Caenorhabditis elegans: one gene and its partners. The protein of the gene in region 2 purifies or fractionates together with the protein of the main gene of each other region. This does not show direct contact. Each region holds a gene or a part of one and is shown on either strand. Other genes may lie near its edges.

Region 1 (5,766 bases), on a different chromosome or scaffold from region 2:
AAGTTTCGGAAAATTTCGGAAGTTGTGGCGAGACCAACTTAGAAGGTTATCGTGTGCCTCACGGTTTCACATAATGACAATAGTAATAAGTTGTTATTAATAACACCAAACTAATAAATTTATAGGACCAGCCGGAGAACCAGGTGAACCAGGACATATCTATGTGTCTGATGGACCACCTGGAAAAGATGGAGAAACAGGGCCACGTGGGCCACCAGGTGAGAAAGGAAGAACTGGAAGAGACGGAGAAGATGGATTACCTGGTGAACGAGGTGAACGTGGATATCAAGGATTAAAAGGAGAAATTGGAAAAAGAGGACCTGTGGGAACTTTTGGGCCAATTGGTTAGTTACAGAGAAGTTACAATTTCGATAATGCTCAACTTTTCAGGTCCAAAAGGAGAACCATGGCCATGTGAATCATGTCCACCGCCCCGTGTTAGCCCTGGATACTATGTGAATAAACGGAATAAGAAACATTGATTCTTTCTGATGCCTTGACTTATATTTTCTTCTATATAAACATACTTATCTTGAAATCACAAACGACTTCATATTAAAATAAAAACAAATAAAATCATAACAGAACAGAAAACAAAATTAAATGTCAACAAAAACAATTTAGGGATATCGGACAATTTCAATCAGTTTCCGATAGTTTAGTCACTTTGGCAGCTTTCTCCTTTTTTTTCTTCTCGGCGAGGCGTTCCTTGTTCTTTTGAGACGATTTCAACGATTTTTTCATCTGAAAAAAGTTATAAATACTTTTTTAAAAATCTATATTTATCTGTCTCTAACAGAGGATATTAAGGAAATAAAGAGCCTACCGAGTTCATTTCATCTTCTCTTGTAGCTTTTCGGCTCTTTCTCTTCCATTCCTTTGTCTCATCAATTTTCTGGTTTAATACGTCAATTGCATTATCACCAACTGATCTCAAACGGGCAACAATTTCAGGAGTAATGTACTTTGTCTTCATCGAATCCGATCCATCAACACGTGGAAGTGGAAGGGAAAGCTCCGTGCGTAGTTGTGCTTGAAGTTGGCGACTTTTCTGGACCATTGTGTCAACTTCAAGATTCAATCCATCCATTTCTCGATGACGCGTCTCATCATAGTCTAAATCTGCGGCACGGGCAGCTTTTTCAAACCAAGACTCTGACATTTTGATCTGAAATTTCAATATAAAAAGCTATTAGAAAGTAGTTCGATACCTTTTTGCAACGGAATCCAAGAGAGTCAATCTCTGAAGCTAGTCGCACACGTTTCTTGATCGCATTCATCAAAGGTTCAAAGTCGATTGGGAAAACGTTCAGATCTTGCACTGAAAGATAACATTAATTAGATAATGATCGTAAAAATTTCATAATTTTAATGTAAAATTATGTGTTGTCTTATATTTTTCTCATTAATACAAAATTGAATTATTTTGTCATATTCTAAACATTACTTTCTTCGATTTTCTCAGAAAAAAAAACAAAAAAAATTGACAATTTTTCAACGACGCCAGAGCATCACATTTATCTTCAATATTTTTCTCCACATACTTCTATTTAATCCTTTGCACAACTTCATATAAAATTGTCTACTTGGTGGATCAACCAATACAACAGTCAATCCTCTGTGTGATGCACGTGCAGTTCTTCCACTTCGATGAATATAAATTTCTACTTTTTTGGGAACTTGATAATGGATAACATGATCGATTCCTTGAATATCCAATCCACGTGCTGCGACATCAGTTGCCAATAAAACGGCGTTTTTGGATTCAGAAAACTTTTCCAAGTTCTTCAGACGTTGTTTTTGAATCATTTTCGCATGAAGAATCATTGGATCAATGTTCACTGATTTAAGTACACTGTATAGTCTACGAGCTGCATCAATTGAATTCACAAAGACAATTGTACGTCCAGGGTATCTTGTGAGTAGGTATACGAGTGAAGTATCCTAAAAAAAGTTCTCTTACAATTAAAAATGTGTTATTTTCAAGAAAAAAAACTTTGAAAAATATTTTCAAAGAACTCATCCAAACAATTTCTAAATCTAACCTTTTCCAAAAGATTTCCACAATTGATACGTGCTTCAACAAGGCATCCAGCTGTACCCATTTGACGTGTTAAATCAATAACTTTATGCTTATTCTCACGAAGACCCGTCAGTTTGATAAGACGTTCTGAAAGATTTTATTTTAGAAAAATTTGGAATTTCTGATTTGGTTCTAAAGTTACTCACGAATTTTTTGCTGTGAACTGAGCTCTTTCGCTTTTTTCTTTTCTTCTTCGGCTACATCTTGTGCTTTTGCAAATGTAAGTGTCGCAGAGAAGACGAGAGTTTGAAGCTTTTCCTTTTCTGATTCTCTGAAAATATTTTGAGTTTTTTTCTGGGAATATATTGTCCAATCGCGAGATTCTGTGATTTTTGACGTTGAATCTTCTTCCCAAAGAAAATTTAAAATTAGAAATCATAAATAATTTAGAAACATTTCTTGTGGGTACGGTAGCTGCAAAGTTTCATTCGTGCCGAGACAGGATACCGTATTTTTGCAAGAAAATTGCAACATTTAACGGGTAAAATTTCTCTCAATTTTGATACTATATATTTCCTTTTCAAAAATACTAATTACTAAATACTCACTCATGAATCTTATTGAGAATATGTGTCAACTCGGCAAAATATCCTTCCTCAACCATCCGATCAGTTTCGTCCACAACTAAACACTTCAAATCTTTCCATTCAGCTAAAAACTCTCCAGTTTCAGCTTCTTGCATCATGGCCCACAATCGTCCAGGTGTTGCAACGACAATATCTGGTCTCTGCTGGGAAATAATTCTCTCTTGCTTCACTTGAGCCAATCCACCAACAATTGATGTGGCTATTAGTTGAGTTGTGGAAATGAGAGCATTAATATGTTTCATGATTTGAATGACAAGTTCACGAGTTGGAGCAACAATCAATGCACGTGGACCTCGAACTTCTGTAGATTCAGTTTCTTGTGAATCATCTGACGATTCGAGTAGACGTGCAACCAATGGAATTCCAAATGCCAATGTCTTTCCACTTCCAGTTTCAGCAGCACCTAGAACATCTTGTCGATCACGAACAGCAGCGGGGAGCACTGCTGATTGAATTTCAGTCGGCTCAGAAAATCTGAAAAAAAAAATTAACATTGTGAAAATCTAAACAAATTAATGGTAAATTGTGCTCACCCCATCTGCTCAATAGCTTCAAGAACTTCATTAGGAAGAAAATAAAATTGTTTCCAAGCTGAAATATCTGTTTTCTTAGATGCTTCTTTTTTGGATTTCTTTGGTTTTCCTGTATCTCCATTCTCTCCTCCTTTTCTTTTCTTCTGCTCTTTCGGCTTTTCGGTAGTAGTTTCTGTCGCATTTTCAGATTTTTTAGCAGAACTCTCAGCTTCTTTCTGTTTTCTTTTTGCCAACCGTTCCTTCTTCTGTTTACGATTTGCAGCCATTTGTTCTTTTCTTCTCAATTTTTTGGCTAGACGTCGCTCCTCTACACACTTCGCATCTTCTTCTGGGCGTTCAGTGTTTTCAACCTTTTTCGGTTTGTTCTGAATATGAATGAATAGTTTTAGTTAAAAAAAAAGGAGTCCCAAATTTATTTTAGAACTATTCGTGAATATAACATTTTTACTATAACTTACCTTTTTCTTCATTCCTTTTTTAGTCTCAACCTCAACACCTTCCGGAAGAACTTCTTCAAAAGATCCCAAGAATTGAAGCATGTTATCATCGAAGTCACCATCCATTGCTTCAACATCACATGTCTGCCAATTACCAGGAATTGAAATATTTGTCATTTTAATTCTGAAATTAAAATTAGTTATTAAAAATTGAAAGAAAAAAGATGCAAAAATAGAATTATCGAGATATTAATAACTCAAACATAACATAACAAAATACGGAAATCAAAACACATTTACTTTATCAAAAAAAAAACTAGAACAACTGGGAAATCATAACAGAAAATGGGAATAAAATAACAAAAACTGAGAAAAAAAAACAATATTCGAAAAGAAAGTAACAAATCAACAACAAATATGTATAAAAAGTGTGAATAGTCTGGAAATTTTGATATAAGACGTATTCTTTAAAAATTGTAGATTGTAGAGCTTATTCAATAATTTCCACTGAATCATCAGAATCTTCATCGTCGCTTCCAGCACTTTCATCTTCAATATCTTCATCGTCTGATTCATCACTAACATCCTCCTCTTCCTCTTCTTCCTTTTTCACAGATTTCTTCGATTGCCGAATTTTCACGAGCCAATTTAATGCGAACTTGTTCTGGTTTGCCCTGAAAATCGGGAGTTTAAAACGGTGCTCAGTAAATAATTAAAGACAAAAACCAACAATTTAGTGATATGTTGTTGATGATGAGCCACAATTTGTTGGATACCAGTCAGAGTTGCCACGTCAGCACGTCCTTTCAATTGCATTCCGTGATGTTGCAGAATCGCTCGGAGCCAAATCTAAAAATCAAAAAAATAATAATGTTTTCCAGATTAAATTGATTTTTAGAAAGTCCACACTAACCATATAAAAATGAACATGTCGTGTCGATGACATAACATTTCCTTCAACCATCCATTTTAGAAGACGCTCTGCATACATCAACGGTAGTGAGCTGGCGACAAGTGGAACTGAAAATTGCTTTTCTAGCTTTCCGTTTATTTTTATTTGGGAGTCTGTAGAGTATCAATAATTTGCCAAAAATGACAGAAAATACAGTATATTTTTTAAATAAAAAAAAATTTAGAAAAATTCTATAAATTTTCAAACAGTTATATTTGGAATATTGGGATTATTTTCTGTCACTTTGAGCAAAAAATCCCACCCTTAAATTCGTTTTTGGAACTAATTTTTCGCAACAAAAAATATAATAAAAACAACGTACTCTGTGAGATGCTAGTTGATTCCAAACATTCAGTGATATATTGTGCATTATTCAGTCGAAGAGAAGCCATAATAGCAGTTGAATAATCATTATTCCATACAGCTCTTTTGATAACCTCTGCATTAGTTTGACTGTCTAATTGGAATGGATCAAACATTGAAATAGTATCCAATGAATATACAGAAACACCTTCTGTTGAACAAATTGCGAATCTTCTTCCAGTCGGACAATATGTAACTTCATAAATATTCACTTCAGGACGAGCTCTTCGTTCTCCCAAATCAAAATTTTTTGTTCCAGGAAGCTTAATTGACATTTTGTTGTTTGGCTCCAGCTCATCCTCTTCATCAGAAGTATCCACTAGTTGCATATTTCCAAATTCTGTGAAGTTTCGTCGATTGAAATCCAAAATAACTCCATCGAGACTTCGATTAGCTGTTATTTGCCATTTCTTCAGAATCATACGCTCCGGAACTGAAAAAAAATATTAAATTGTTTGAAAATTCTAAAAACTTTTAAAAAAATCTATTACCTGAGTAAAGACAGAAATTATTCGATTCTCCACCAGCCAATAATAAATTTCCATCGGGAGAGAATCGAATTCTCGTGAATGTTTTTGTTTTGGCCGCCGATTGTCTTGTAATTGTGTCACGTGATCCACGAGCCGGATCAGTATCCAATTTAGTATCAATACTTCCCAAATTAATCATTTCCTTTGCTTCAAAGAAAGTGATGACTCCATCCGATGTAAGAACAGCAATCTCATCTCCAGCCGGAGAAAATTTGACATCGAGTGCTTCATGTGATACTTCGACAGTTTCTGCTTGTGAATCGACAATTGTCCACATTTTG
Region 2 (6,141 bases):
GTATGTGATTTTTGACACCACGGAACCATTAGAATTTTATTTGAATTCGGAAATAATATCTCCAATATTAAATTCGTTTTGATTGAACTTTGTTTTTCAGCTACAACAATGCAAATTCGAAGTCGGTGATTTCGTCGACGTCGCGATTTCCTTGCCAAGTCAAGGACGTCGTTTCAATAACCGGGAGCAGGGAGACCGTTTCGATCATCGTCAACGCCAACGTAGTCCGATTCGCTAGACGCCTAACTGTGTGTTAAAATTCAATGATACTCTTCTGTATTTATTAATGTGTCGATTCTTTTTTTTATAACGTGCAATGTAATATTCTGCGTAAATCATGTTTTCCTTTACAATTGTTCAACATACTTAACAATTTACAACAAAGTTTACTTTCACATTTACTGGTCAAAATTGCAAGCTATTTAATTTTAAAAAAGTTTTGTTTTGTGATTATGCAAAAATCGGAAAAATGATCGCGATCAAACTGCTTTCAGCGAAAACTAAAATTTCTTCTCGAATAATTTATTGCTTAATAAATGATAATGGACGGGGGGTAGAGCAAGTAAGATTATTGAAAATCGAAATTTCCAAAAACGTTCTAATTGGAAGTTTCTTTCGCCTTCGAAAACTCCTAATAAGAAAGTTGGAGGAAATTCGCACAGAAAAAAAGGCAGGTAAAACAGGAGTATCTACTATTCAAACTATGTGTCAATGTACTCTACTCTAGATTAAATTACAAAAGGATTCTTAGTTGAAATTATAAAAACATAAAGGGGAATACGATACAATTATGGGGAAAAATGTAATAAAGAATGTTCAGAAAAACAAAAGCATGGGAATTTAAGTACTTGTATAGAGAGTAGGTATAGGGTAGTGGATAAAAAATGTTGGTAATATGTAAAGGGGGTGAATACGTGACAATAAAAGAGAGAATCTCGGGATTACGCCCAGAAGTTTCGCTTCGGAATGGTCATTCCGTTCATTGCAACGGACATCTCATCAACAATGGCTGCCGCCAGTTCTTCTCGCATGTCTTCGTTGATGAGTTCCGAATGGTCTTTGATGATGCGGTTCTCAACTGCTTGCAAATTCACGTAACGCCTGGAAACATTTGTTTTTGATAAAGATTTTTAGGAAAATAAACTATTACTGATGAATTTTGTAATTGTTGCGTCCTCGTTTAGCCAGATTTTCTGCCGCATAAAGAACATCTGGAACCGATGGTGGCTGGTAGGACACTTGATGACCGAATGCGCGGAAGTACGTCAAGTGCATGAGCTCGTTTTTAGACCATTTGGCATCATTGACAAGGATCGTGTACTTGCACGGACGAACGGTACCCTAAAAGAAACTTTCATTTAATAAATTAACTAATGAACAACTTACAATAAGCGGCGTCTGTGAAGACAAAATGAACTCGTCGTATCCGTAGGATGTCAGGACATTCTCGACACATGTTCCAGATGGGATGTTCTGATCCGTCGCTCTGTTGCCACTGATACATGATGGAAAAACGCGAGCATGTGAAGCTCTTTGTGCGATGATCACCACGAGATGTGGACGGTATCCGGGCTGAATCTTGTCAAATGTTCGTCGCATCTCTTCGACTTCTTCCTTAACACGATTGAAGTTTCCTTCTCCAGCACCAACACGATAGATGACGATTCTTGTTGGGAGTGTCTTCGAATGCTCCTTGTACGATCTGACACACTTTGGGAAGAATTCATCAAGTTTTTGAAGTTTGTACTCCTTTTGGGTTTGAAGGTATGTGAAGCCTCCGAGCTGCGTCGAGTTGGTCAGGGAATACGAGACTCCAACAACTGATGGCTCACCATCCATTTGTGATCTACTGCGATCGAACAAAGTGCGTGATGCGCCATGAGAAATCTCGAATCCGATGAATTGTACATGTTCGAGAAGTTTCTTTCTCAATGTTTCATTGTTTGAGCACACTGCTTTTCCACGCACAGCATTCGGGATCTCGACGAAGAAGTTGGTTCCACCACACTTGAGGTTGAACTTTCTCATGACGTTGTCAATCGTTTGGCGTCCACCTTGACCTCCCATCATTTTATCGACAGTCTGTTGACACAATTGGATTGTTTGCAGGCCAATCGATTCCTCAAAGTATTTGAGTATGTCGTGAACATCCGGCTTCTTCTCCCTTGCTATTCCAACAAGAATGTCCACTCTATCATCGAGCCATTTCTTCATCAGATTTTGGATAGCAACGGAATCACTGGAGTTCAATTCACGGATGGACCAATCTCGCGAGTCCTTTTCGACCGTGATTCCATTGTCACGACAGAAATTGGACAGCTTGTCGCAGAAATCTCTGAAAATAGAATATTATAAAGCAGAAGAAAACAACGTTCGACTTACTCGGCCTGTCTCATTTGGATACAGTTGTCAAAGACAACAATACCAATTTTTCTGATCCGTGCTGGTTCGACAAACTTGTCCTGTGTGCGGAACGCTGGACGGCTCATGTCAGGCATGTAAGTCTGGCCCTTGAACTTGATTTGAGCTGGTGGGAGGAGCTTCGCAGTCATTTGGATTGGCTCAGTCGACATCAGTTTGATTCCGAAAGCATCCATGTACTTATTTTGTTCAAGCTTCAAGTTGTCGCGGAGAATATCTTGAACCAACTTCACATGATGCTGTGGCATAGACGCATTTCTTCCTGTCATCGCCGATTGTACTGTCGGGCTCATCTTGTTGACCTTGATCCGCTGGCCTGGAGCAATTCGAAGCAACTCCATTGGGAAGAAAGATTCATGTTTGAATCTTTTTGAGACGACGAGAGGAAGTCTCGGATATTTCAGCTTGATGTTGTACTGCAACAGGAAATATTCCGCCACGGTGACCTCGCGTTCTCCCTTGTCGTCCTTCATCATGAACGAAGTGCTACAAAACAAATTGTTATCACGCTGATGATAACTATCGAATAACTTACTTCTCAGCATTGTTCTCGGCAATCGAGGATACGCGAATAAGGTTACCCTTCAAGTGAGTGCATTCCACGTCCAATCCTTTGAGTGCTTCTTCAATGCATCGCTTCGTGTTTCCTCTTTCGCCAAAAGCGTGTTCCAACTCAGCAGCATCACTCGGAGAGTAGTCCGCTCCATTTGAAGAACCACTGTCTCGACGGGAATCGTACATGTCGCGACGTCCTCTGCTTTCATCTCGGTACCTGTCGTTGCCACCTCGGTTTCCATAGACACCACGAAAGTCTCTCGAGTCGGAACGGCCGCCACGGTATCCACCACGAGAGTCTCGCGAGTCACTTCTTCCGTATCCGCCTCTTCCACCGCCTCCACCTTTCATTTCGGATAACTTGTTGCTTGAAAACTTGATAACTGATGTATCCTTGTAAAATGGAGAAATCTTCGTATCAACCGTCATGAAAGCTTTGCCACCTCCGTTTTGCGATAGACGAGATACTTTCGCAAAACCTGAGCGGATCTCCGAAATAGCATCAGGTTCCGAGTGTGGCGGAGAAAGACGTGGGAATGTGGCATTACCAAATTGTAAGTAATCCTCATTGTTGAGCTTTTGTGAAGTGACGATTTCGATAATACGAGTCAACTCCATACGATTAGCCTCCTCCTGGGCAACTTCTCCTTGGGTGTACACAAATCCGGCAGGTTTGAGAACAACAAGGTAAGAATCGTCCTTTCTGCGAGACAACTTCGACACGAATTTCCATTCTTCCTTCGGGAAGTCATCGATCGTCAACGTGACTTCTTCTTGATCGTCACCAGTGTAGACTCCCTCCGGAAGATAGAGAGTCGCAGCGCAGTCGTAAGCAAGGAAGTGGTGACTCTTTCCACTGAACTTCACCAGAAGCTTGTCATGTACTGTTCTCATGATGTAGTATTGTGCCAAGCGACGGTTATGGGAATTGACACTGGAAAGTACTGATTTTGAGCGGTTATACAAATTAAATACTTACTCTCCCTTGGCCGCCAAAACTCCAAGGTTGGCATTGATCTGTTTTCCGTTGCTGGAACAGACGATGACGTCAACTTGAAAGCGTTGGATCTTGTGGGGCATATCCTTGATGTCCACTGGAAACATGTTCATCTGAACATTCATCGTGTCCATCGTTGCGAAAGAGTCCCGTCCAATTGGTGTTGTTGACTTCGGAGTAGAGAACATTGGTGCTGAAAAAGACAATTTTGAACTCCTAGGCATAATGTTGATTCTAAACGAACCACTTCTCTTTGACGTCGGTTCGTCCTTGTCCTGATTCATTCGGTTGTCTCGTTTGGGAATCCTGTTGGAAGACGAACTTCCCATAATTTTGTCGAGCAAGTCGGCCATGTTTGACTGAAATAAGAAACGATGAAACGAAAAAACGATGCGAATTTCAGATGTAATTGAGATAAAACAGTGAAATTTACTAAGAAAAAGTAAATGAAACAAAAGCTTTACCGTCCTGATTGAGATTTTCAAGTAAAATGAGAAAAAACGCAAGGAGAGAAATGAAATGAAAATAAATAAATTTTAGGCCAGAAAATTCGAGAAAACACATCCGTGGCGGTACAAAAGTTCAAATCGTGGCGCCACATGCGTTGTAACAATAGAGCGCGCTTGCATTGTGATCTCTTCGAAAAATTTCACGTCTAGAAATCGAATTTTATTAGTTTTCAAAAACTTAACGACTATTCTGAACATTTCAAATAAAATAATAGAAAACAATATTTTTAAAAAATTAATTTGTTATGCTTCAATAAATATTAATTATTTAATTCATTTCTACAATCAAAACGATGCTGGTTTTTCAAGTTTTCTGCTTTTTCGTCTCTTTTCTGGCAAATTCAATAAAATGCGACATAATTCATCTCAAACATATGCCTAAAATTCTGAAGGAAAAGGCGTTGCTCGAAAAGCCGATAATTCCAAACAGGCTGCTCCAGCCATTCCTTAATGAATCAATTGCTCATATTTTGATGAATCCGTTAGCTGAAGTGAAGACGAATGCGACGGAAATTAAGTTTCTAAATTATCTAGAAGATAAAAAGAAATATGAACCCGATTGGACAATTCGAGAACTTGAAGATAAAATTGTGAGCTTAATAAGTCATTTTTCAAGTCTAGAAAAGAGTTTCAGAGCCTATCAGAACTGGTCAAGACTTGTCTAGAACACCACTCGTTTCTAGATCTTCCAGATTTATTTCCTCGTTTTCTGTGTGGTTTGTTAGCAGTGTATAGGGAACAGAACACGACAAGTCTTCCATATACTGGATCAATATTTTCTCGATCATCAAATGCAGTAAAATTTCTAAATGATCCAGAGAATTATCCATGTCATTCTATGAATATGACTGATGTGGTGGCACTGGTGCCAGGAAGAATATACAGTGGATGTGTCAAGGATACGGTATCCTTTTCAACAAAATTCTGAAAATCCAGTTATCTGTTTAGGACCCTGAAAAATTCAGTCAATTCGATTCCGTCTTCATCATGTCTCATCCATTCCCAGATGTTCAAAAGTGTCAACAACCTGTGTCAGTGATGCCAAAATGCGAACTGCGATCGATGCTAGTGCAACACAAGATATTGTATCAGCAAAAAGATTGTTGCTGCGATTCCAACATGTGTGCCGTGCTCATCTTCACTCAGACCTCTTCACTGACTCCGCTTGTTTTAAAGACGATTGATTTGACGAGAGAGACGATGGTCCCGTTTCCAGTGACAACGACAGAGATCTCTTTAAATTCAATGTTTCAATAAAGTCAACAATTTCAATAACGCATAAAATGTAAACTCAACAGCAAAAATTAACAAAAAAGAAGATTCAGAATAAAATGGGATTAAAAAAAAAGAAATTAACTACTTCTTTCGTTCATAGGTCCATTTGTAGACGGCTGCTCGCATAGCTTTCGCCTTTTTGACCTTTTGAGGCTTCAATTCTGATTTGCTTCCAGCTGCCAATTGTTTCTTCAATTCCAGCTTGTCCACGACCACTTGAAGCTCCTTGGCACGTTCCACGCGTTTGATGAGCTCGTTGTATCGAGTACGACGTACACGATCGGCTTTCTGGAATAATTTTTATTAAGATTTTTCATTTGTTTTAGATATTTAAGGGGTACTTACTCTGACTTGTTCTTTTCATTTGTTTTAGATCTTTAAGGG
Region 3 (4,587 bases), on a different chromosome or scaffold from region 2:
TAATATTTCGATAAAATCGACTGGAAAAGTGTATTTTTTTCGTTTTTTGGAGGTTTAAAAATTATTTTTTCGGCAAAAACTTCGGGTTTTAGAGATCAAAATATCGATTTTTAAAGCTAACTGAAAATCCCCAATTACAGTTTTGACCCCAAAAAATACTGAAAATCATCTAAAAATCAATGTTTTAATCTGCAGTTTTCGCCGGAAAAAATCTTTTTACCTAGAAAAAATCTGGAAATTCGCTCAAAAATCGATATTTTGGCTTAAAAATCCAGTTTTTGGATAAAAAATTATTGGAAAATCACCCAAAAATTGATATTTCAATCAAAAATCCAGTTTTTAAACCAAAAAATACTGGAGAATCGCTTTAAAAATCGATATTTTGATCTAAAAACCCGAAGTTTTCGCCGAAAAAATAATTTTTAAACCTCCAAAAAAACGAAAAATTAAAAAAAAATTTGTTTCGTTTTTTGGAGGTTTAAAAATTATTTTTTTCGGCGAAAACTTCGGGTTTTAGATCAAAATATCGATTTTTAAAGCGATTTCCAGTTTTTTTTTTGGTTTAAAAACTGGATTTTTGATTAAAATATCAATTTTTGGGTGGTTTTTCGATATTTTTTGATCCAAAAACTGGATTTTTAAGCCAAAATATCGATTTTTGAGCGAATTTCCAGATTTTTTCTAGGTAAAAAGATTTTTTCCGGCGAAAACTGCAGATTAAAACATTGATTTTTAGATGATTTTCAGTATTTTTTGGGGTCAAAACTGTATTTTTTCACTTAAAAATTCCATTTTTAACGCTAAAAATGCGATTTTTGTGCGAAAAATCCAATTTTTTGAGCATTTTCAGCCAATTTTTCAGATTTTCAGCCTTTTTACCGTCAATTGATCCTGAAAACCCATTTCGAAGAGCCGATCGGCTTCATCAAATACAACATATTGAACATATGAAAGACGAAGATCCATCTCGACGATAACATGAAGAAGGCGGCCAGGAGTGGCGAGAAGACTGCAAATTTTTAGATTTTATGGGTTTTTTGGGCTTAAAAATTGGATTTTTAGGCTTTAAATTTGGATTTTTAGGCTTTAAATTTGGATTTTTTGGCTTAAAACTGGATTTGTAGGCTTAAAATTCGGATTTTTAGGCTTAAAATTTAGATTTTTAAGCTTAAAATTTGGATTTTTTGGCTTAAAACTGGATTTGTAGGCTTAAAATTCGGATTTTTAGGCTTAAAATTTAGATTTTTAAGCTTAAAATTTGGATTTTTGAGCTTAAAAATTGGATTTGGAAGCTTAAAATTTGGATTTTTAGGCTTAAAGTTTGGATTTTTAGGCTTTAAATTTGGATTTTTTGGCTTTAAATTTGGATTTTTAGGCTTAAAATTTGGATTTTTGAGCTTAAAAATTGGATTTGGAAGCTTAAAATTTGGATTTTTAGGCTTAAAGTTTGGATTTTTAGGCTTTAAATTTGGATTTTTTGGCTTTAAATTTGGATTTTTAGGCTTAAAATTTGGATTTTTAAGCTTAAAATATGGATTTTTAAGCTTAAAATATGGATTTTTAGGCTTTAAATTTGGATTTTTAGGCTTTAAATTTGGATTTTTTGGCTTAAAATTTGGATTTTTTGGCTTAAAATTTGGAAATTTGAGCTTAAAATTTGGATTTTTAGGCTTAAAGTTTGGATTTTTAAGCTTAAAATTTGCATTTTTAAGCCTAAAATTTGGATTTTGAAGCTTAAAATTTGGATTTCTAAGCTTAAAATTTGGATTTTTAGGCTTAAAATTTGAATTTCTAGGCTTCAAATTTGGATTTTTAGGCTTGAAATTTGGATTTTTAAGCTTAAAATTTGGATTTTTAGGCTTCTCAGCTATAAATCCTAAAAAATTGCAATTTTTTGCATTTTGTGGGTCAAAAACGCTGAAAACCGTCCAATTTTCTGCGCAAAACCATCGGATTTGTTCGATTTTTGGGCCAAAATGACCGAAATTTCGGCGTTTTTTCGTCGAAAAAATCCTCACTAACATGTCGGGATTCTCGTGAATTGTGGAGAATTGCTCCTCAATTTGATCTCCTCCGACAAGGCAAGCACAACGGAGTCCTGTGAAGCGGCCGAGCTGAAAAATGAGCAATTTTGAGTGAAAATTCGGGGTTTTCAGCTAAATTTTTGAGATTTTTGGCATAAATTCACACTTTTTAAGTGAAAAAGCAACATTTTTAGGCAGAAAAAAAATGAATTTTTAGCCGATTTAATGATTTTTAACGGAAAAAAAATCAGTTTTCAAGTGAAAATACAAAGTTTTTGAGCATTTTTTCGCGGTAAAAATCCAGATTTCCCAGCCAATTCCTCGATTTTCATCAATTTTCGCACCTCTTTGACGACTTTAAACGTCTGAAGAGCCAATTCTCGTGTCGGAGACACCATAAGAGCCCGAATTCCAGTCGTATCTCTTCTTTTCAGCTTTTGGAGCATCGGAATCACAAAAGCGGCGGTTTTTCCGGATCCTGTACGTGACATGGCCACCACATCTTTTCCATCCATAATACACGGGATTGTTTTGCGCTGAAAATTGGAAAATTTGGGGGTTTCCGGCTTTTTTCTGGGGAAAATGGGATTTTGCGGGTTTTTGAGGGCTAAAAACCAGATTTTCAAGCTTATTTCGCTTTAAAAATTGAAATTTTAAACTATTTTATTGGTAAAATAGTGGAGAAATCGATTTTTATGTCAAATTTAAGTGATTTCAAAAATTTAAATTTTTCGCGGGAAATTTTGATTTTAAAGAATTTCTAATCTTTTTAATCAAAAATTTCACAATTTTTCACTCCATTTCCCACTACAAAAAGCCATTATTTCCTTAATTTTTCGCGAAAATCCTTGCCTGAATCGGCGTGGGCTGATTAAAGCCTTTTTTCTCGATCGCCTTGTAAACCGAATGGTCCAAACCGATTTGTTGCCATCCTCCGGCCTTTTTATGCTTTCTATTCTGATTAATTTGCAGCTGAGTGAAGTCTTCCTCGTCGTCCGACGCCATTTTTACCCTGAAACGAAAATATCGATTTTTAGCGGGAAATTTGTCGCGGAAATTGACGAATAATGAAGAAATAGGTGATTTTTAAAATTTTAAATCAAAATTTACAAGAAAAATCGAGAAATTCGGTTGGAAATTGGCGGAAATTGAATTTAAAATTTAATTTTTCGTTGAAAAAATCATTTGCGCGTAGGTTCCGCTGCATTGTGTGCACTCTGGAGGGGTGGCGTGTTTGCGTACAATGCGCGTCAGAGGCAATGTTGACCGTACCCCAAGGGGAAATTCAGCTTTTCTGTGTGTAATTAATAATTTTCTGAAAATGCCTGTTTTTCTCATGAAAAAGCTTTATTATGTACACAAAATCTAGCGAGAAATTCCAAAAAAAAACAAATTCACAAAAATACAGGAAAACCTGGGCGAAAAAAACAGGGAAAGGCAGTCCGCGAAAAGGAAAAATCGATAATATTTACAATTTTCTACACATTCTACACAGGTGCTCATAGGAAATGAGTAAGGACAACGAGAAAAAAAACGGGGGCAACGAAGATATGGACACACGAAGAAGGAAGAAACTGGGAAAAAATACAAAAAAATCCTGAATTTCGGGGGGAATTGAAGAGAAAATTTGGGGGGGGGGGGGGGCTTGAGGTCAAAAAAATTGGTGATTTATGGGAAAAATGAAGAGATTTGAGTGGAAAATTTGAAATTTTCGAGCATTTTTACCCCTAGATTGATGAAAATAAATATTTGCACTTGGTGGCCTAGAAAAAAAAAATTTCAGAAAAGTTCGGCCATCATCAATTTTTGCATCATTCTAGTGTGAGTTTTGCTCAAAAATCTCAATTTATAACTAGTTTTGACTTAATTTTCACGGGAAATATCGGACAAATTGAACAAAAAAAAAAGAATTTTAAGCGGAAAATAAAAGTTTTCCGAATATTTCCCCCATTAAAATTCCATTTGATCTACAGTCATTGTGTCGTCAGCATCAAAATCATCAAAGTTCACTTCACTTTCATCAAATTCCGACATTGAACTACAACTTTCGTCGTCATCGTCCTGCGGGTGACCATCGTAGTGCTCCGAGGGTGTTGAGGATATGGAATAGGCGTTTCCCGGGGAGCATCCTTCTATGGCACGGTGTTCACTTGCAAATCGCATTACGTATTCTGAAAATAAAAAAAAATTTAAAAAAATCGATAAAAATCGGCAAAATTCCATTTTTTTGATCAAAAAATTGCTAAAAACATGGAAAAATTCGCTCAAACTCTTAAAATTTTGCAATTTCAACCTCAAAAACCACTTAGAACCGTAAAAAGTACGCAGAAAGCAAAAAAAAAGCAAAAAAAAAAATGATGGCCTAACTTTTAGAATTTCTAGTCCACCAAGTGAAAAACTAGTCCCCGATTGTTTTTTGCCGAATTAAAAAAAAGGATTAAAATATACTTTAATAATTTGAATTAAAAAAAGCTCCAAATAAAATAAAACGGCCAGTTTCGAGTAGGTGGCCTAGAAATTCAAAAGTTCGGCCATCAACATTTTTTTCTCTAAAAAAATTTTT

Evidence for each region.
Region 1: the proteins of hrde-1 (region 2) and F55F8.2 purify together in Caenorhabditis elegans (affinity purification with mass spectrometry, with the first as the bait; one study listed by BioGRID). This does not show direct contact.
Region 3: the proteins of hrde-1 (region 2) and Y94H6A.5 purify together in Caenorhabditis elegans (affinity purification with mass spectrometry, with the first as the bait; one study listed by BioGRID). This does not show direct contact.

Annotation. Positions count from the first base shown.
Region 1 is NC_003279.8:5,645,833-5,651,598, forward strand, and holds F55F8.2 (ATP-dependent RNA helicase), read right to left. Parts: upstream 3,825-5,766; 5' UTR 3,818-3,824; coding exon 3,662-3,817; intron 3,569-3,661; coding exon 3,204-3,568; exon of another isoform or gene 3,145-3,203; coding exon 2,632-3,144; intron 2,355-2,631; coding exon 2,230-2,354; intron 2,171-2,229; coding exon 2,046-2,170; intron 1,945-2,045; coding exon 1,545-1,944; intron 1,322-1,544; coding exon 1,212-1,321; intron 1,169-1,211; coding exon 827-1,168; intron 745-826; coding exon 640-744; 3' UTR 537-639; downstream 1-536. Other genes in the region: col-53 (Col_cuticle_N domain-containing protein), read left to right, coding at 126-344, 391-482; F55F8.3 (Periodic tryptophan protein 2 homolog), read right to left, coding at 4,131-4,314, 4,371-4,489, 4,554-4,660, 4,915-5,388, 5,447-5,766.
Region 2 is NC_003281.10:4,171,828-4,177,968, forward strand, and holds hrde-1 (Argonaute protein hrde-1), read right to left. Parts: upstream 4,333-6,141; 5' UTR 4,327-4,332; coding exon 4,218-4,326; intron 4,167-4,217; coding exon 3,956-4,166; intron 3,911-3,955; coding exon 2,957-3,910; intron 2,908-2,956; coding exon 2,383-2,907; intron 2,336-2,382; coding exon 1,387-2,335; intron 1,342-1,386; coding exon 1,151-1,341; intron 1,102-1,150; coding exon 942-1,101; 3' UTR 510-941; downstream 1-509. Other genes in the region: C16C10.4 (putative histone deacetylase complex subunit SAP18), read left to right, coding at 101-238; C16C10.13 (Rab3 GTPase-activating protein catalytic subunit), read left to right, coding at 4,956-5,072, 5,117-5,386, 5,431-5,739; utp-11 (putative U3 small nucleolar RNA-associated protein 11), read right to left, coding at 5,839-6,045. UniProt on the Caenorhabditis elegans protein: Argonaute protein which is involved in the endogenous small interfering RNA (endo-siRNA) pathway and is required for RNA-mediated gene silencing (RNAi) in the germline.
Region 3 is NC_003282.8:2,700,942-2,705,528, forward strand, and holds the start of Y94H6A.5 (RNA helicase), read right to left. Parts: upstream 3,037-4,587; 5' UTR 3,030-3,036; coding exon 2,877-3,029; intron 2,561-2,876; coding exon 2,369-2,560; intron 2,115-2,368; coding exon 2,023-2,114; intron 1,104-2,022; exon of another isoform or gene 1,034-1,103; intron 1,010-1,033; coding exon 880-1,009; intron 1-879. Other genes in the region: ubc-8 (UBC core domain-containing protein), read right to left, coding at 3,975-4,195.